Linked DNA regions of Caenorhabditis elegans. The protein of the gene in region 1 interacts with the protein of each later gene in a biochemical or structural test. Each region holds a gene or a part of one and is shown in the gene's direction. Other genes may lie near its edges. The genes, in order: npr-22, flp-13, flp-11 and flp-7.

Evidence for each region.
Region 2: of the proteins of npr-22 (region 1) and flp-13, one has a biochemical effect on the other in vitro, tested with the Caenorhabditis elegans proteins (one study listed by BioGRID).
Region 3: of the proteins of npr-22 (region 1) and flp-11, one has a biochemical effect on the other in vitro, tested with the Caenorhabditis elegans proteins (2 studies listed by BioGRID, with this or other methods).
Region 4: of the proteins of npr-22 (region 1) and flp-7, one has a biochemical effect on the other in vitro, tested with the Caenorhabditis elegans proteins (one study listed by BioGRID).

Annotation. Positions count from the first base shown.
Region 1 is NC_003282.8:8,556,830-8,564,009, forward strand, and holds npr-22 (Neuropeptide receptor 22), read left to right. Parts: upstream 1-2,602; 5' UTR 2,603-2,638; coding exon 2,639-2,788; intron 2,789-3,168; coding exon 3,169-3,301; intron 3,302-3,449; coding exon 3,450-3,991; intron 3,992-4,421; coding exon 4,422-4,549; intron 4,550-4,607; coding exon 4,608-4,772; intron 4,773-4,906; coding exon 4,907-4,970; intron 4,971-5,846; coding exon 5,847-5,969; coding exon of another isoform or gene 5,970-6,012; 3' UTR 6,013-6,332; downstream 6,333-7,180. Other genes in the region: mpst-6 (thiosulfate sulfurtransferase), read right to left, coding at 6,775-6,953, 6,996-7,180. UniProt on the Caenorhabditis elegans protein: Receptor for the LURY-1-1 and LURY-1-2 peptides which control food-related processes including feeding, lifespan, egg-laying and roaming behavior. Receptor for flp-7 which stimulates serotonin-induced fat loss.
Region 2 is NC_003282.8:7,695,719-7,700,701, reverse strand, and holds flp-13 (SPSAVPLIRF-amide), read left to right. Parts: upstream 1-2,281; 5' UTR 2,282-2,333; coding exon 2,334-2,421; intron 2,422-2,823; coding exon 2,824-3,025; intron 3,026-3,350; coding exon 3,351-3,543; 3' UTR 3,544-3,773; downstream 3,774-4,983. Other genes in the region: Inositol 1,4,5-trisphosphate receptor itr-1, read right to left, coding at 3,999-4,076, 4,134-4,813, 4,866-4,983. UniProt on the Caenorhabditis elegans protein: Probable FMRFamide-like neuropeptides. Binds to neuronal receptors such as dmsr-1 to promote sleep in response to cellular stress also known as stress-induced sleep (SIS).
Region 3 is NC_003284.9:4,676,127-4,680,280, reverse strand, and holds flp-11 (SPLDEEDFAPESPLQ-amide), read left to right. Parts: upstream 1-2,158; 5' UTR 2,159-2,214; coding exon 2,215-2,294; intron 2,295-2,349; coding exon 2,350-2,516; coding exon of another isoform or gene 2,517-2,530; exon of another isoform or gene 2,531-2,585; coding exon 2,586-2,671; coding exon of another isoform or gene 2,672-2,727; 3' UTR 2,728-2,947; downstream 2,948-4,154. Other genes in the region: tmem-135 (Transmembrane protein 135 homolog), read right to left, coding at 3,084-3,216, 3,261-3,427, 3,632-3,772. UniProt on the Caenorhabditis elegans protein: FMRFamides and FMRFamide-like peptides are neuropeptides. Induces sleep-like quiescence behavior following release from RIS interneuron. Helps to sustain locomotion stop after gamma-aminobutyric acid (GABA) induces fast slowing response.
Region 4 is NC_003284.9:5,883,612-5,888,285, forward strand, and holds flp-7 (TPMQRSSMVRF-amide 2), read left to right. Parts: upstream 1-2,253; 5' UTR 2,254-2,255; coding exon 2,256-2,350; intron 2,351-2,466; coding exon 2,467-2,505; intron 2,506-2,557; coding exon 2,558-2,848; intron 2,849-2,895; coding exon 2,896-3,004; 3' UTR 3,005-3,222; downstream 3,223-4,674. UniProt on the Caenorhabditis elegans protein: FMRFamide-like neuropeptides. Stimulates serotonin-induced fat loss by binding to and activating the npr-22 receptor which leads to induction of the atgl-1 lipase and subsequent fat loss.

The DNA of each region.
Region 1 (7,180 bases):
ACTTATAACTGACGGTTGTGGTTCTTCTAGTGTTTGAATACCTAAAAGCTAATATTTTCAGTTTTCTGAAAAAACTATGATTTTACTATAAGGACATTTTTTGAATGTACACATAAAGTATAAAAACTGAAAGTATTCTGAAGCTTAATAGTAGAGTACCCCACCCCCATAGTTCTCTTGACCGCATCCTAACTTTTGACCTATATATCTTCTCTTGGCCAATGGACCGTAATCAATTATGCTCTTCCGTTAACAAATATTCTATTGAAAATGTCTTGCAGACTGACAGAAATCCGTGTGAAAAAAGTGAAAAAGTCGGATGAATTATTTCTGAATTCCAGTTTTTGACTAGTATTTTTTGAGTAAAAGTTGTGGTTCTTCTAACTAGTATATGCACGTAGAAAACGCCATCACAAATAAAAATATCATTAATTTTGCTCTTCATTGAATTTCGAAAGTTTTTTTTGAGCAGAATGCACTTGGGTTTTGAACTTTTTTAAAAATTATTCAACAGCTTTCTGAATCTGTCTTGTAATGTTTGAAACCTGATTGTGAATGAAACAAGAGTGAAGTAAAACAAAATAAATTTTAAGTTCGGAGAATTGATTATAAATGTTTATCTTTTTTTCTTTTTTGAAGGTGGATGTGGAGAAGTTGTCAAAAACCATTCCTATGATGCCAAAATGTTCAAATACAACTTTTCAAAATAAAAAGTGTGAAAATTTTTATTGACAGTTTAAAAGTGGCAATTACTGAGTTTTTGCCACTTTTTGCCATAGACGACTTCCAAAAAGCGAAGACTTTTCCAAAGTTTTGAAGCTTACTTGACATGAATGTTTTCTTATTTTCAGTCAACTTTATCTTGTTTTTTTCACAACATCGCACTACATCCAGACACATTTCTGTTGACTCAATATTAATTATTTATTATTTATTATTCATTTTGCAAGGATGTGGTGTTCTTATTCCTATTTTTATATACTTCTCCTTTTTCTTTCAGAAATTCTAGAAATTATTTTTATGCTAATTGAGATGTACATTTGAGACATTTTCATGCCGTGATGACGTAATCTATCTGAATCTTGAGATATCTATGTACATTCTTGCTAATAACGTGAAAGGTGTCATATGTACTGAGGTCTACCTTATCATTTCCTGATTATAACATCATTGAAACATATTTTAGACATATTTTAATAAATTTCAGTTTTTTTTTGTCCTATCTGGTCAATAGTTTTTTCTACAAAAAAATAGACAAATAAGAATTAAATTCAGCTAAAATTATTGAGATATAGTGTTGAAGAATACGATAAAACGACGGTAATCTTTCATTCGATTAAATTCTAGAAACCAATCGCGTATCCAAAATCTTAAATTTTTATAATTAACAGTTAGCTAGAGTTTCTTTATTGGAACATACAATTAGCACAATACAATTGGAAAACTTCGGTTTAAAGAATCTGTAACAATTTTCTTTTACTTGATTTTGTTCAAGTTTCTCAAGTTTTAGCACGTGCTCTAACCCTGCAATAAAAGTTTGTACTTTATTCAAGTATTCATATTGTACTTGTACTCTATCGTATGATCATATTACTCATGTCTAAAACTTCGGTAGACACGCATTTTTCCAACATTTTTCTTCCATAAATTCCTGTTATCTTGCAAAGTTCATTTGTAAACTAATACAACACATGTCTGGCTGATTTGACCTTTCTCATTGAAATTGATGGATCATGTGTCAAAATGGGACCACTACAGATCACTAGATACTACTATCACTATATCACTATTTAAACATGGCAGATTTCAAGAAAGTTTGCCACATTTTCAGATGAAATCATCTTATTAATTTTGATTTCGAAAACAGATATTAGCAGCCTACCTTCTGGATTTTTCGGTTACAATGTACCTATTTATTAATCAAAAACTATCACTTCTGCATTTTGTAATCATTCCCCAATCATCCTTGTGCGAAAAATAGGATAGTTCTTCAAGTTTTTCCCTTCCCTATACTTTTGCCATATATTTTTTTAATTCCCACTGGACTTTCCCAAAAGAATTATTTTTCGAATATACCACACTTTTAACAAATTTTCTGGATTCGGAAACATTATATTTTTTTTTCTACAAAACCGCAAAGACTATAGTCATTTTTCGAGGTCAACAAACATCCAAATATCATTGCGAGCATCCTATGTTCCTCTAATTCTCTCATACTTTGCTTCCGAAAACCCAAGAATCACAAAAAAATCTTGTTTGATCTTTGCCTTATTTTTCCAACTGCTAATTGACCTTCTTCGTTTATATAATTTTTCACTTTATAGAAATTTACTTTTTAATCAATTTCAAACAACAAAATTTGATACACTTTCTTAATATTATCCTTCTCCTACATTCTCATAAATTTGAAGGTTTCTCTTTCAACATTTCTGATCTAAAAAATGTGCGAGAAAATACATTCTTGGTTTCTTCATATTCATTTATTTCTCCGAAATATGTTCTCTTTTTCTTTGTTTTTAATTTTCGGTTTTCTATGAACAAGTGGTCTTCCTTATTTGGAACACTTCCCCAAACTCTTTCCGAATAAATTGTTTTAAATTTCAGATCGAACGATTCGTCATCTAATTCGTGAGCAAATATGGACGAAGGAGGGGGTATTGGAAGCAGTTTGCTCTCCAGAATCACGACGACAGCCTCTGAAATTATGATGCGAAACGAACCGACGACAACTGAAAATCCAGCTGTTCAAGAAATGAATCATATTTATCATTTGACACCAAGTATGAAGGTGAGACTTTTAAAAAATATTCTTATACATTCAAAGTATATCTAAAAATCCAAATTTTACAAGAGTTTTGAAACTTTGAAAAAAGGAACTAAAATTAGTTTTTTTTACATTTCATATTTAGGCAATTTGGCCATGTTTTTAGCCAATTTTACCTGCTGAAAATTGATTTTAACGTGCCATGTACTTTTATTTTAGTTAATTTATGATAGCGTTTTCTTCAAAACTTGAACCGTAAATAAAAAGTTTTGAAAATTTTTCAAGTGCTATCATTATTAAAATTCGGTATAATTTTTAGAGGCCATTTTAAGTGTAAAAAATGAATAAAATTACTACATTATTACCTTTAATATTTGTACCTATTTATTACTAATTTTTTACAGATGTTATGTATTCTTTTCTATAGTATACTTTGCGTATGCTGTGTCTATGGAAATGTGCTCGTTATTCTGGTTATTGTTTATTTTAAACGACTTCGAACGGCGACTAATATTTTGATATTGAACTTGGCAGTTGGTGGGTTTTGTTACTTTTGAATTTTTGAAAACTTTTTATAATTTTTCAAATCTCCAGAACTTATATGAGCTTCTAAATGGATAAGTTTAAAAAATTAATTAATCTAAGATGTTGAGCAAATTTCCCAAAAAAACAACTAAAATTGCAGCTGATCTTCTCATATCAGTATTCTGCATTCCGTTCAGCTATTGGCAAGTATTGATTTATGATGATCAACGTTGGCTCTTCGGCTCAATGATGTGCTCTTTATTAGCATTCCTTCAAGCAATGGCTGTATTTTTATCAGCTTGGACACTTGTCGTTATCAGTTTTGATCGGTGGATGGCTATAATGTTCCTTTTAACTCCAAATATTCGAATTACAAGACGAAGAGCTCTTTATCTGGTAGCTGCCACGTGGATATTCAGTATCCTAATGGCGTTGCCGTTACTCTTCACAACGAGATTTTTCGAAGACCAAGACGGTTTACCGAATTGTGGAGAAAATTGGACGTATTTTGGAGATTCTGGAGAACAAGTGAGAAAAGTGTATTCTTCAATGGTCTTAATTCTACAATATGTTGTACCTCAAGCAGTTTTAATAATAACTTACACACATATTGGAATTAAAATGTGGAATAGTCGAGTACCAGGAATGCAGAATGGAGCAACAAAGAAAATGATCGTTGATCGACATGAAAGTGTCAAAAAGGTGAGATTTCTGGAATTATTAAAAATTTAAGCCTAACCTTTCAAAAACTCCCAGTTTTGATTTATTAGAATAATAAGAATATGGAAATAATGCAACAATCAATGGCTCCTCAGTGCGGTGATGATAATAATAACCATAATCAAAGTCAACCGACCCCTATATTTATAGGAACAATATTCTCATGTGTAGCATAAAAATAATAATCAAAAATCGTTTTTGACATAACCTTTTCCAAATCATTATTAAGTGAAACTTTAAAATTGAAAAAAATTAAATCAAAGTTCGAAGTTATTACATTTTACCTGCCTATTACATGACGGTTTGATAAAGTTGTTCAGTAGATTGAAATATCGTTTTTACTTATTTTTATCAAATACAATAAATATTACCGCGTGAGAAACGAAACCTGTTAATTAAATAAGATTTTTAGCTGGTCCCAATGGTGATTCTCATTTCGGCACTCTTCGCACTTTGTTGGCTTCCTTTACTTATACTGATCAACGTCATTCCAGAATTCTATCCAGATATCAACAGTTGGGGATATATTCTGTATTTGTGGTAAGAAATATTCTTTTAATCTGACTCAATAATTTGGTTTTAAAAATCGCATTTTGAGGTGGTTTGCTCATGGACTTGCCATGTCTCATTCAATGGTCAACCCAATTATCTATTTCATTCGAAATGCCCGTTTCCGTGAAGGATTCTGTTTCTTCTCTTCAAAACTTCTTCCATGTATATCATTTAAAGAACTTCGTCTTTTAACTGATAATACTAGCAGAAGGTATGTCAATTTCTACAAAGTTGTCTGTTTTTGAATTGAAGCCAAGAGTTAGGAGCAATTCAGTTTATTTATGTATCAACCTTATTTGTTGATAACCAGTTTGATAATTTTAATAACTCAACAATATCATTCAGTTTTCGAAACCGTTCACGGTTTTCTGGTGTCATAAATCCGACTTCAAGCGATGAAAAACCTGCTGTAAGGATGTTCTCTAACCCATGTTTTTTGTCCTTCTTGACTTTTTGTTTGGCTTGGCTTTTTTATTTTTACATTTTAAAGTTTATTTTGCACTGCTTCACATGCACTAATATGTTGATTAAGTTAATTTCATTTTAAATTATGAGTATATCGTATTTCCTCTTTTAGTATTGCACACCATTGTTCAACTTTGACAGTGTATATCTCAGTTATCATTTGTTCCATTTAAAAATTGTCAACTAACAAAATATTTTTTAGTTCTTTTTCTATAATTTCGTAGTTAAAGATATAATGATATATTCAAAATAAACCGATATATAACGTTACAAAGTAAAGTTGTCCGGTGCATTACTAAGAGAGGAAATACGGTACGTTAAATTAGCAAAATTAAAAATCTTCTAAGTCAGCCTAGGTCGTTCAGCGCAGTTAATTTGCGATGGACCCATCAGAATCCTAGAGCAGTGATTTATCTACACATCGTCAAAAAAATCGGACATTGCGCATACTGCGACTCGTAAGCTGCCTATAATGAGCACATTGAGCCAGGATTGCTATGAAATCATTGTGCTTGTTTACTGAGTCATTATGTGCCTGTCGCGAATTAACTGCGAACTAAATTTTGCCACCAAATGATAGAGGGAAAACCCCTACTACTGAGAAAGTGTTTGCCGATGAAGTTTAGCGAAACCTAGAACCATAAGAACTTGTAAGTAAAACTTTAAAAACAGTTTTTAAATTCAAATGCTTTACTTCTAAACCCTTTTTATTAATTAAACGCCTCAATTATATCCACTGCCTAGTACACATTTTCCAATCTGATTATTTCCACAACATCGACTTTCTTCCTAGCCACAACCTAATTTTCAATATTTTCAGACATCGCTTACGAGATATTCACGAAGTGGAGTCCTTGACAGGCAAACATGTCGTTCGGCACGTTTCTTCGAAGCCCGACCACTCGTCGTCGTCCGAAACAACTCTGCCAATTCTCTCGCGTAGCTTTTCCCGTATCATTAAGAAAATTGATCTACCATGTACTTGAGTGGAAAGCTATAGAAGACCATAGATTCAAGGTTTTTGTTATTTGAAATTGTATTTTAAAGCATAATTTCACAAATTATGTTTATATTCCATCCATTTTATTGTATTGTAAGAAAAAACCCCTCAGATCTCCTAAGAAACAATTTTATATGAAACATCAATTGTTGTCTGAAACGCTTTTCATACCGGTAAATACTCGCCCCACCAAATCCACGAATCATCACCAATATTTTAAACTTGTACCATACAAATTGCGTGTTTTCATTTTATTTGAATATTTTTTCAAAACTAAATGTAGAAATAAATGTTAGAATACTACAAATTTACATCTGACAGATTTAAAAGAATCCAATGAGTTGACTGAAATTTTGTAAACTGGCAAATTACTGAGCAATTCAGATAAATATTTGATTGATTTCGGTTTCAAGCTTGTAGTTCCACGTGTGAAGGTTTATTTACAGAGATTCGGCATTTGTCTATTTTTAGAAGGGATGCATTTTCCGTGAATTGTATGCAAGTATTTTATTAAAGAAAAATGAAATAAGCAGTCTTGATAGGCAGACACTTATATTTAAAGTATATAGTCACTCCAGAAAACAGACAAGAAAACAATCAAAGTGAACAATTTTTATGCATTTTCATTCAATCTTTATTCTTCAATTTTCTCATACACTTCACAAAAGTAAAGCATATGAAAACCAAAAAACACAAAACACCGTCAGCGACTTGTTGTATGCAGAAATAAATCAGAAATGATTGTCACTTATCCCTTTGTGTTGAGATGTTGTGGCGCCTTGTAAGCCAACTCGTGGACTCCTCCATTGTACAGCTTGGCAACGATTCCGGAACGAGCAGCCGCGAGCCAAATAGCTGAAGCTGAGAGTCCGATTCCGCAACCAATGACAACGGTGTCTCCGACTTTGATTCCCTTGGCGGCGAAGGCTGGAAGTATTCAGTTAACTTCTGCAAATGATATCAACTAACCTTGATCACAATCAGTCTTCTTCTTGAATCCCTTGGCAGCACAAACTTCTCCGATTGGGAAGTGAATCGCATCCTTGCAACGAACACCTTCGGCTTTCGAGTCTGGATATCCAATTGGAACTTTTCCGATAAACTCTTCCTTCGAACGAGCATCCAAGTACTTGATACTAGCCAAGTTATCGAAT
Region 2 (4,983 bases), 860 kb from region 1:
GATATTCAACCACTACCATTCATATCATTTTGTTGCCAAATTGTGCCTCCTGATGCTGAATCCTCAATCCATTTCTCCATACTTCCTTTTCACTTCCTCCATTTGGCGGAAGGTGGGCGGTCCTCCCGCCGAAACTTGATCTCTTTTTTATTTTTAAGAAGATCCTTTATGTTTTTTATATTGACGTTTACTTTTTTTTTGGAAGAAAGTGGGTGAACTACAATCAGATTATTTTTATGCTCCGCGAAAATTTAATCATGATCAAATGTGATATATGATGATAATTTGGGAATAAAAAAGTGGAGGTGGAACATAATTTGTGTTCTTACGGACTATAATTTATTTGATATAAAACATCATTATTTCACTTGTTGCAGTCAAAATGTTCAGACTTGCAACCGCTTTTTTCTTTAACCCCATTTAAATAGGTCATTTTGAAACTGAAATTTTAGATATCAATGTAACAATTTTCAGAAAATCATGAAAATGAGAAAATAACACTGAATCTCAATTTTTTCTAACTAGCCGTTTATTAATTAAAACTGTAGTAGCATTTTAGTCGGCATTTTGTGTCAAAACAAATTCATTCTTGTATTTTTTTTTAATGCAGTCAATATCTTAGTAAATTGCCAAATATACGAAACCTATGGAGCGTTTCTGAGGAATTCAGAACACTAGAACACTGTTCAATCCTTGCTACATTTAAATACAGGGTGGGCCAAAAGTATGGTAACACGTTTGCAGCTCTATAACTTTACTAGTGGAGAGAGTTATTACATCAATTTGTACAAGGTTTGTTCTCCATAAAATACTGACCAGATGAACGTTTTGAATTTTCAAAATATTCCCATCCGCATCGCTGCAGGCCTTCAGAACTTTTGAGATCACGACCTTTATGGCACGCAAGTCGGCATTCTGCGGGATTTCTACATTTTTCTCAAGGAATCCATCAAGTGTCTTACAAGTTTTTATAGTTCAAAGAATGCTCTTGGTCTAGAGATTTTTTAAAAACAAAAATCCAAATAATTTCTATCACGGTATTTCTGTCATGGACTGCGGCAGTAGGTTAAGTCTTGAATGGCATAGTCGCCAGAAAGATGGATGTGAGCGGCGAGTAGCAGTATGCAGAAAAATTCATTTTAGTATTTTTCGAGACGTTTTGACCTGACTTTCCAGAATTTTTTTAGAAAATTGAGCTCGAATGATTTTGTGGGTCGTTACGCCTTGCGAAACCAAAAAAACTGAGTAAATTTCGCAAAGTTGAATTCATGAAAAATTCAAAGGTTCTGGCGCCAGTGTCGACACAGAAAATTTTTGTATGCTACAAAAACAATCAAAAACGCTTCTTCACTTCTTTAACTTTAAATTTAACATAAAAATCATACATCTGAAAATTATTGGCGTGCGTGGGAGGTGTGTTTGTGTGGGAAGTGCCGCGTGCCAAATTACCGTTTTTTCGAAAGGGTTCGCCAAATTTTCGAGGTGATAAAGATCGCACCTTATTGGGAAACATTACAAATTTTGAGTCAAATTGAAGGAAATTTATTCAGCTATCAGTGTTTGATAGAAGAATGTGCGTATGACGTGGCAGTCGCGCGAAAAGCTCATGTAAAAGAACGCTTCATGTGTTACCATACTTTTGGCCCACCCTGTATAAATCGTGAAAACATAATTAGATTATAAAAGTAAAAGTCGCCCGGTTTCGATTATGGTTGGCAAAATCTGAGTAATCGCTACTTTTTTTTGATTGCAATTAAAAATAAATTCTGACACCTTTTAAAAACATGTACCATGATATTTTTTAAACGATTTCGCGACTTGGACTACATCTTTTGAACTCCAATATTATCAGTTCCGAAGTGTGATGTTGATGTTAACATAATGACATTTACAACGTATTCTGATTTCTTTGAATATCTTCTCGAACTCTCGAGACACATCTGTTCAGATTCCAGTTGACTTGTCACATTTACGCATTTCCCTCCTCCATTCTTTTATTTTGTTTCTATTTCTTGCGTAAATCTGATTAAAATCGAGAAGTAGGCGCGCATTTTCTGTCTTCACCTTTTGACTATAAAAGTACTCTACAAATATTGAACAACACTTTTTAAAAGTTGTAGTAGTTATTGGCCATCAGGAATTAGGAGGTCAGTTGCAAAATCATGCATCTTTTAGGATTAAAAGCTTAAATCTTGCTCATTCATTTCCTGTCTTATTTTGAAGTTTTTCTCTCTTCCAACGCCTCCCACTGTGACTACTATCATCTATTATTATCTTGTAGGGATTCCTCAATTTCCAGACACCCTCAAACTCGGCCCCGTTCCGATTCGAACATGATGACGTCACTGCTCACTATCTCAATGTTCGTCGTCGCCATTCAGGCCTTTGATTCGTCGGAAATTCGAATGCTCGATGAACAATGTGAGTGTTTGTTGTTTTTATATTGTTTTAGAACTTTTTAGAACAAGCTTATACTCATTGAGAACTGGATTGAAATGTTATATGTTTTTTAAAGTATTTCAAGTACAAATTACTTTTGAACATACTTTGATCAAAACTATAGTTAAAAAAAACTTGGCTATCTTCATTTCGTATTCTTGAAGTTTGTAGTACACAGAAAAAAATGTCTTTAATCCAGATGGATCCATTTCTCCTGACTTAAAAATTAGAGTCTGTAGAATTCTCAGAAGTCATTAGGACTTGATGAAATCTGAATCGTAAACAAATGTTTTTTAAAGCTATCTAATTTATTTTCTAAATAAAAAACATAAATATCTGAACTCTGAACGAAATTCAATATCCGAAAACAAATGTCTATTTCAGATGACACGAAGAATCCCTTCTTTCAATTTCTCGAAAACTCAAAACGAAGTGATCGACCGACTCGTGCAATGGATTCTCCACTGATCCGTTTTGGCAAAAGAGCTGCTGATGGAGCACCACTCATCAGATTTGGTCGTGCTCCAGAAGCATCTCCGTTCATTCGTTTTGGAAAGAGAGCTGCCGATGGGGCTCCTTTGATCAGGTAACTTTCAACCCTTCTTAAAAATTATACTCCCACAGCTGCTTCCGAATAGAAGAAACAGTTTTAACTTCTATAACGGCAAATTGCATAATCCCATTTAACTGTCAGTCTTTTCAATATTTCAAAAAAATTAAGATTGCCTAAAATTTGTCTACGCCACTTTTGAAATTCAAGATATAAAAATTCAATATTTTTCCTATTCCTGATTATTGAATTGAAGTGCAACAGTTTTGTTTTTAACTCCTCAAAGTTACCGTTTCAATAGCAATCCAAAATACATAACCTGCATTAGAAAACCATCGTGATATCTGTACTTCATTTCTAGATTTGGCCGTGCTCCAGAAGCTTCTCCATTCATCAGATTTGGCAAAAGAGCATCTCCATCAGCTCCATTGATCCGTTTCGGACGTTCTCCATCAGCCGTACCACTCATCCGTTTTGGCCGATCTGCAGCTGCTCCACTTATTCGCTTCGGACGTGCTTCATCAGCTCCTCTCATTCGTTTTGGCAGAAAATAAATTCACTTTTTGATCTTTCTTTGTGTGTGTGTGTGTTTGTGGTTCATTTTGGATCTCATTTAGTCGACGATTGTGTGTCTACACCTATTTCCTTCCTTCACTGTCTTTTCCCCAAACACTCTTCTTCCCCCAACCAATGTTCATTTTCATTTTGGCTCTACTCATGCATTTCTTCATCTTCTTCTTCGACGTCTTGAATTCACAAAAATGAATTGTTCTATCCGGTTGTTAATACTTTCAAGCAAAATTATTTTATTTGAAAATCAAACTTAGATAAAGACGAAAAAATAAAAATACGTTGAAGACAGGTAAAAAAAAACATTGAAATACCGGTTTTGAAAACGACTAAACAGGTTTTGTGACGAGAAAAGGGAAAACAATCACAGGGTTATAAATATGGGTTTTGGAAAAAGAAACAAATAAAAATCTATCCAATAAATCTATTTTCAGTAGGTCTAACGAGGCTGAAATTGTTCCATGAAAGCCCGAGATTCTTCATTTTGACTGATGATCTCTCGCATAAGGGTCATCATCTGAAATTTAAAGCATTTTAAAAAGATTTTAAGATTAGAAGTAGTCAAATAGTTTACCTGCAACAACTGATCCTTCATTTGTTTAACTTCCGATTGATCTGTGTCTAATTCTGAATCTTGTAACGACAATGCCTGCATTCTTGGGAACCAGTCCAAATTCCGATCTTTAACACATTGTGCCACGTAGCTTTCGGGTCCTGTGAACTCAGTTTCATCCTTAATTTGGAGCATCACAATGTAATACAAATAATGCCAAATATTGTGCTCCGTTTCTCGATGTGTTTCAAAAGTCACTGATCGGTTGTCAAAACGAGATCTATCTAATCCACAAATGAAACAGTTGTTTTTCAAAATTTGTTCTTTCTCGTTTTTCTCGGCTCTCAAATCTCCGAATGTGTCGATGATGACTCCGAAAATCAAATTGAGAACAATAACGATAAGAACAACAAAGAAAGTCATATCATAAGCAACTCTCCATATGAACATATCTTCCCATGGAGCTGGATTCCTGAGTACATCACCAATTCCTCCACCGTTACGAAGTCCTTGATATCCAGTTTGAAGTATACACATCCATAATGTTTCACAAGATTTTACTTTCTTCTCATCATCATTGTCATCTTTTTCTGATGGTTGTAATCCTGGGCATCCTTCTGATGGGCACGTTTCTGATGGTATTCCGGATGAAATTGTTGCAGATGAATCATTTTCAACTGGATCAACTTCCAAATAGAAATCTGAAAGTTTTAGAAAATATTTGGGAACTTAATTGAAACCAAAACAACTTACCATGCCTGAAATACAAGAATCCCAATATGGAGAAAAAGTAAAGAAGAATCAGAGCAAGTAATCCAGTCCAAACGATTGATTGATAGTTCCTTGTAACCGAAGCAATCACATTTTGAAG
Region 3 (4,154 bases), on another chromosome or scaffold:
ACTAGCATCCAAGATGCTCTTTGTTTTCATAAATTTTAGTTGTTTCCAGTCCCGAAAAAAAATTTCAATCATTTCCTTAGGTTCAATAAGTGTTTTGTCTGGTCTCTTGTTGCAATTTTTGAAAAAGGAATAACATTGTGCTCAGACTGAAAAATGAAAAAAGATGATGTAAGTTGGTCTAGGCTTTAATTCCAGTTTCCGTTCCACTAGTGATCTTATCATTTATTCATATCAAGTTTCATTTGATGTTCGATTCATTGTAGGTTTCATTGTTCCCTCTGACTATTCATCAAGTTCTATGAAACCATTGTGGCTTACTAGTTCCCCAAAGTTGGAAAGATCTGGAGAAAGAAAAACAAGTATCCCAAAAGCCCAAACCTTTTTTTTCCAAATGTTGAGCCTCTAAAGTTGATGAATGGGGTGAGAGAGGTTTTCATGGTTTTATGGCCCATCAGTTCCAGTAGAGTTCCTCATATCTTTTCGCACTTCATTTTTCAATCTGTTAAGAGTAATTCCCCCACAACTTTTAGCATCCTCAATCCTGGTTCCACCCACAAACACCCACACTCCATTGAATATAAGATTATAAAATATAAGTTAAAATACGAAAAGATGCAAAACTGTGACGACGAAACTTAACAACCTGCTGACGTGTCAAATATTTCCGCATCTTACCTTCGTGGGCATCTTCTAACTCATAAATTTATGATGTTCGAATCCCGGCGCCAAGTGATGTAAACTCATTTAATATTTGAGGAAAAAGCATAGACGAATCCATTTTGCATCTAATTTATTTTTCTAGTTTCACACCCATGTTTCGCTTGGCATAATCAGTGTTTGAGCGCACTTTTTGCAAGGTGCGTCTTCTTGTAAAGAAAGATTTTCAAAAAAGTGCAAAAGTGGGGGAGATTGAAAAACGATAAGAAGGTTTCATGTCAAACAAGGACACACGAATATATAAATACGGGTCATTTTTCAAACTTTCCATTGTGACTTTTTGGAATATTTTTTTCGTAAAAATGAAATCGATTTTCTGACCAATATCTCAACTTTAAAACTTCTAATTCTGCTTTTTTTCAATCTTCTGTAAACAGGAGTGCGTCGAAATTTCGGCAGTTTCGGCATATTGCCAAAAGTTTATAGTCCAACAATTGCCGGAACTGGTGATTTAGCTAAACAATAAACCTCAAAATATTAGGTATTTCAGTAAGAAAATGACCTATTGATTATGACTTTGAATCAAGTTTTGATATATTTTTAATTTTTGAAATATGATGAAAATTAAAAATTATCAAAAATTCTGGCAATTTTGGCACATCGGCACACAATGCGAAATTTGCGGCAACTGCCGATTTTTAAAAAACTTTATTTGTTTGGTATAACAGTTAGGCACGCATTTTGGAAATAAACCGATCTTTTATTGGGAGAAGTGCCAGTTAAAGTGCTGGACCAAGTAAAATGTTTCCAAAAAACCAGACACGTATTAATAAAACACTTCAAACTTTTTCAAATTTTACAACAATTTTCAATTAAAGTTTTGGCAAATTGGTAAATTTTCAAGAAATTTTTTTGCAAGTTTTAATTTTTAAATATACATTATAATTATTAGAATGTTTTCTGTATAGAAAATCTCTGCATCTGTTGGAAATGAATAAAAACTTCATAACAATTCTAAATTAAAAATTCAAGAACACTAGAACAAGCGTCCTCAAAATATTCACAAAATATTGTACACATTTTGTAGTACTTTTTCCATTATTAAAAAAAGCAAAACTAGCTTTTCCTTCCTTTCCGAAATTTAATGCTATTTTCAAGATGACTTTTTTGCTTGCGTTTTTCTCAGTTTCCTCACACACACACACACACAAGTAGGCGTGGCCTGTGGAACGTTTCAGAGCGCAGAACACCTGCATTTGATCTATTCACTTCTTGCTTTTGAAAAGCCCAAAGACACCCTACACTTCGGTTTCGTTTTGGAAACCATTGACATCATCCTATTTTCCATAAGAAGTTTCCTTGAGAAGAATCCATTTCGCAAATTTTTCATTAAAACGTTCAAAACTCATCAAACCATTTGTAAATAGTAATAAAGTATGTCCTGCGGCTATTTGCTTTCTCTTCGGAATCTACAACGCCCCCTCCTAATACATCGTTTCAGGTATAAAAAGACTGCGCCTAGCCGCTCGTCTCACTTTTTGCAGTTCATACTGAATAATGACTCAATTCTCTGCATTGGCACTTCTCCTTATTGTCTTCGTTGCCGCTTCTTTTGCTCAATCTTATGATGACGTCAGGTATAGTTTTTTCTTAAAACAATTTTTATCAATTACCCATATAAATCTATTGTAGTGCGGAGAAACGTGCCATGCGGAACGCCTTGGTTCGATTTGGAAGAGCTAGTGGTGGAATGAGAAATGCTCTCGTTAGATTCGGAAAGAGGTCTCCATTGGACGAGGAAGACTTTGCTCCAGAGAGCCCACTCCAGGGAAAACGGAACGGTGCCCCACAACCATTTGGTAAGTTGTCTTAAAATTTTTCTTCCGCTTTTTGCCTTTGCTTCATGTGTCGTTTATTTTGCTTTGCAGTTCGCTTTGGCCGATCCGGTCAACTCGACCACATGCACGACCTTTTGTCGACTCTTCAGAAGCTCAAGTTCGCCAACAACAAGTAATGACCGAGGACGACCGTCTTCTGCTCGAACAACTCCTGAGGCGAATTCATCATTAAAAATCATATGTTTTTCTCTCTCACACTCTCTTTTTTCATACTCTCTCTTGCTGTCTAGAATTTGATTGGTGTCGCTTAACCCCCCTTTCCCTCCGAAGGAAAGTTATCTCCCCAGATCTCTTTTGGTGTTTTTTATCAGCTAACAACACACATTTTCTGATATTTCTATGCTCTGTCTATGAACAATAAAGGCGTTGTTAATTACTCGCAAAATCACTTTGTTTATTTTTTTCACATTTTCAGATAGTGAACAAAAGAAAATTAAATTCTAAAATCTGAATCGGAAAATTCAAATTAAAAATTAAATTTATTTTTTTTATATTACACCTGTTTTTTTTCAAATATTAGATCAAAAACTATTCAACAAGTGGCATGTAAAGCATAGGATTAATCATTGCATATTTAGGATCGAATTCTGGAATTTTCGTGTAAACATCTCGAGAAACAAAGCCAAAATGATCGTAGAGACGTCGATTGAAAAGCGAGATCCTGCAATGAAAAAGTCAAGTTGTTACAGCTAGTTAGATCCTTACTTTCCACCAACAAGTCCAAAAAGAAAGTTGAGGTATCCTCTTCGAATTGCTCTAGGTTCAACAACAGCGTTCCATAAAACGTAACCCGTCGTGATTGCGTAAAGAATTACTTCTCCATTTTTGAATTTTGGCAAATAACCTCGATCAACTAGATCGAAATATACCGTCTGAAAAAATGTCATGAAGGGAGTTGGCGCTGATCACCTCGCTGTCGTCAGGATATCACCATGGAAGCCCGCCTTTCACATTTGGGATTCCACCCCGGTCGAGCAGCTCATCAAAATTCACATCTTCTTTGTTTCAGAGCTTTATTTTTAGAAGCTTACGCTGTTTGCAGCTAGGAAATTTAAACGAGGAGCAAAATATCATACCTCAATTGCTTTCCAGAGACAATACATAGCAATACTGACAGTGGGATAGAAGGCCATTGCAACTGATGCCAAACCAGCAGAAAATACATTATTGAGCACCGGAGGAACGTATTTAACCCGATTTAAAGAGCATCGAGTAGCCTAGAATTGTTTGAGAGTAAGTAAATTTATACTGAAAAAACTATTTACTAGATTCTAAAATTTAATAAATAAAGTTTAGTTGAAATTAAAGTCGCTAGTTTCTTAACCAGTCGCGAAAAGTTGCAAATTTTGCAAAAAAAAATGCGGCACCCGGGATTGACAGGAAACATTTTTATAAATGCAAAATTGTCCGACTTCAAAAATATTGCACCTCTAAATTCTGATAACTGCGGTATACTGACTTAATATACCGAAAAATAAAAAAAAATCGTACACTTCGCAAAGCAATTTAAACATAATTCAGCCACTTATGTTATCAAAAAAACTAGACAATTGTAACTTTTCCAGTTTTTCTAATAGTTGCACACTAGTCTGTTCCTGA
Region 4 (4,674 bases), on another chromosome or scaffold:
ATCAATTTATTTTGGGAGTACATGTTGCCACGAAAAATAAAACAAAGTAATTTTCTAAGAAATCGGAATAAATTTTTTACCCTTATTAAAAACTACTACGTCGATTAATGTTAAACAAATTTAATCATACATGTTTCTAGCGAAAAAAAAACCTTGAATACGGTCAAAGAACAGCGAATTCTGATAAGGCATATTTTCTATGTTTATTTATTAGTGTTGCTTGAATAAATTCATGATCATTTATAGTGATGCGAGAGCTGAAAGTTTCTTGGAGCGAAACAAAAAGCAAAATTGGAGCCTATATAACCATGTGATCAAAGTGTCAAAATGATTTAACAATTGTAGTTTCATAAACTAGAAATTACGTGTGGAAACTGACAAAAACTTTCAACTTTTCAACTTTTCCGCCTTCAATTTTTCTAGAATTCTTAATTTCATTGCAGCAGCGACTTAATTTCCGTTTTGACGTAGACTTAAGATTATATCGGTAACATTAGTTGTAAGTTTTCTTCGTCATTTTACAAAGACTTACAACTCGCCGTATAAATTTTCAATTTTTTCGGAATTGTTGGCCCACGTGTTTTCATTTATTGTGAACAAAGTTAATAGCTTGGTTGTGTCTGGAAAAGTTACTTAAAGTAGTTCAAAAACTTAGAGTTCTATGAAATAGCAGCTTCTCTTCTGGCATCTCTCACATCTTTTGCTCGAGTTACGATAATTGAGGAAACGTTTGAAATTAAATGCACAGGTGATTCTATAAAATACTTATGGAATGTTTTTGAAAGGGTTTTGCAAAAATACTCAAACGCATCTACAATAAGTGTACATACGTAATATGACATATCACCCAGATTCACAAAACCACATGTTTTATAGATATGGTACTTGGTTTCAACAATTTTTAACATACTTTGAAAAAGAGCAAAAAGTATGTTTTACATTATTTATTGAAAACTCGTGTCAAGACCTGTTATTGTACTTAAGTTTTTTATCTGAAACTATTTTAAACTCTACATTTCACAATCAATGATCAAAAGAAAAACTGACCGAAATTTCTTTTTTTTTATTTTAAACTAGTTTTTGAACAAAATTGAACTTAAAAAACTTCAGTATCCACAATTGAAAAAAAACGTCATTTTTTGATTTTCTTAATCTTGAAGCTGTATTGTAATGTACTTAAAATTATTTTTGTTATGCGACTCTTATAATATTTTACATAAAAAGGACTAGATAAATATGTGTTTGTGCATCACAACCCCCGTTTAAAAATAAATTGAACTTTCATTCATTTATTCATTTCAATTAAACATAATATATTTTATAATTTTTTTTCAGGCTCCAAAATGACTTTTTTATAGGTTGAAGAGCCTGATAATAGTTTTAATAATACCTAAATTTATAAATTGAAATTTCAACGTACATCAGTACGGATAACTTTGTGTCTAAGTAATACATACAAAATTTTTGGAAACTTATTTGTTGAATTAATTTTTATTTTTGCCTTCTTCTAACACTTCCTCCTAAATTCTCAACTGACCGCTCAAAAGGTTTCAAACATCTTTCTCTTTGCTCTTCTGGAGAGTGCTTGCTAGTATCCTAAAATACCCGACACAATCAAACAGAGATGGACCGCGTGAATAATGAAGTGTCCCAAGATCCGTATAATTCACTTTGATTGCTCTGTGAACTTGGATTTTTTTAATCGGGCTAATGCGTCTTTAGCAAAAATAGCCAACCATCTCAATGGATTCCAACCTAATTTTGATTTTTTTTTTTTTTGGTGTTATTTTTTCTCCTTGTTCCGATTTCCAGTTTTTGTTTGGACGAAGGCGGAGTCATAGCATCAGACAAGGTTAGAAGGCATGAGAAGAAGGGGGTGGAGCATGAGCCTTTCTCGAGCTCAGGAATATGAAAGCGTATATAAGTATGGATAGCAGCTTCTATTGCGTTTCTGATTGTGATTATTTTGCCCCGTCATCAGTTTTCTTTTCAGTAAATTGTCAAATACAAATTTTTTGATTACTGTTGCTTGGTCTTGTGCAATCCACTCAATCTTGAATCCAATTTGCAGTTCAAGTTACAAATTGAATTTCCCTCTGCCAACACTCAAAGAAGGGTTCTTTTTTTTGACTTTTCAACTTTTCTCCTCATTTTTTCTCGATTGAAATTTCAATTTTTAAACCACTCCGCGTCATGTTTGGAAACATGACGTCATCGAAAAATACCATCTCGTTTTCATTCAAAGACTTTTAGAAATGCTTGGATCCCGCTTCCTTCTTCTTGCTCTTGGTCTCCTAGTTTTGGTATTGGCCGAGGAATCAGCCGAACAACAAGTTCAAGAACCAACTGAGTGAGTTGAGATTTATTGATATTATGTTGTTCTTGTTGTCGTGATTTGTTGAGTGAATAAATTTATTTTATTATTCTGAATGAACTCCTATTTTTTCTATTTTTTATATTTTTCAGACTCGAGAAGTCAGGAGAGCAACTCTCAGAGGAGGACTTGTGAGTTGTTATTATTCAGAAAAAACTTTATTCTCACACTATGCACTTTTAGAATTGACGAGCAAAAGCGTACTCCAATGCAACGCTCATCAATGGTTCGGTTCGGACGGTCACCAATGCAACGCTCATCCATGGTTAGATTCGGAAAGCGTTCGCCAATGCAAAGGTCCTCAATGGTTCGCTTTGGAAAACGGTCGCCAATGCAACGATCTTCAATGGTGCGTTTTGGAAAACGTTCACCGATGGAGCGTTCGGCTATGGTTCGCTTTGGAAGATCACCTATGGACCGATCGAAAATGGTCCGATTTGGTAGATCATCAATTGATCGCGCTTCTATGGTTCGGTACGTATTGACGTGAAAAGTATTTTGTGAATAAAGCTGAAGTTCAGACTCGGAAAACGGACACCAATGCAGAGATCATCGATGGTCCGTTTTGGCAAACGTTCGATGGAATTTGAGATGCAATCAAACGAGAAGAACATCGAGGACAGCGAATAAACAAGTACATGCAAACACCTTGATTACCAAGAACAAAACGGTCTCACATTGTAGTTTAATCTCGTTCTACGGCCTATTCTTACCTTTTTCATTTATGTATTTTTTTTTGACAATTATTTTTGTGCCACTTGACTAATAGTACAGATTGGTCGCTACCCAAATACTCCAGTGTATCAAAATTAATTTGCGATTTGCAAAATAAAGAACCGACGCCTGTTTTCCAGTCCTTCATCTTAAATTCATGCAATGCAAAGGATGAGAGGATTTCAAAAAAATAAAACTATAAAAAACAGGAAAATTGTTCAGAATGGCTAATACGGTGAGTCTGGTAAGTTGATTAAAAACAATGTACATTTTTTGCTTTTTGGACTAGTTTCGCGCCATAAAGCATTGTGTCCCGAGCCTGGTTTCATGTCCACTCATTCGCTGCAGTATTCAAATATGATCAAACCTGCCCAGCTACAGAAAAGCCTGATCTCGCGCCTTTCCCTATAACGTTAAAAGTTGTTAACTTTATTTCAAAGTGCATCGACTCTCCTAGGAGAGCGTCGTATGAGTTAAGTTGAACTTTTCAGAAAATAATCCAAAATGATTATTAACATTGTAAAGGCTTCTCAATCCCTACGGCAATAAATCATACAGAGCTTTTTGGTCATGGTCACCCGCTCGTTTTCCTGAAAATCAGAAATATACGTATTTGGATAATAGAGGTTTATTGAGAAAGCCTAAATCTAATAAATTTCAAACCGACAATGGTAAATTTTTCGATATAATTTTCTGGAATGGGTTAATTTTTTTTGCAGTTGTTTATATTATGTCAGATAACTTTTTATTAGTAATAGTCAGAACAGACGGGAAGTTGTAATAATATCAAAATGATCGGAAACCTCAAACGGAACAAAACTAGAAGGAGTATTATCTAAAGTTATATTGGGATAGAGGATGCCTCAGATTAAAAAAAAAATTTTGGCAAATAATCAGATATTGGAAATTTTGAGAAATTTTGAACAATTCTCCTTGTTTTAGCCATACAATTTTTCACATAAATTTTTTTTTGCTGTTTATTTTATTTTGCTGTTTATTTTAACCACACAAACTATGTTCAACAGATTATCATCCAGTACGAGCTGAGGGGGAATGAAAAAAATAAGTTTTATGGTTCTATAAAGACCAAGCACCATAATAAAACTTTAAAAAAATATTTGGAAATGTTGAATTGTGAATCAAAAAGCGGTGCATATAGTTTATAAAAATTTAATGATTTTCTTCTTTTTAATTATTCGTTTTCAAAAAATTTGTAAAGACTGAATTTTCTTCTTAAGTTTTCACCGAAAAAAATTTTACTAATTTTTTGCAAAAATGTATCATGTTCTTTGTTTGATTTAACACCATAGAAGTGGTTTTCAACAAATCATAGTCCACATTTAATTAAAATTGCACCAACACACAATTTTCAAGCTTTCTTCAATGTTTCCAAAGTTGAAAAAACACTTGTAGGTTTTTGAAACCATTAAAAAGCTTTATTATATGGTAATACCCAAGTAGTTCCGCATCCGCAAACAATTCTACATGCCCATTTTTTTGAGCTCAAATAAACGAGGTTGTGGGATTTTTAATCAAGTTCTACTATTCTACCGCCAACTCCTAGAAATAAATATTTGATTGAAATA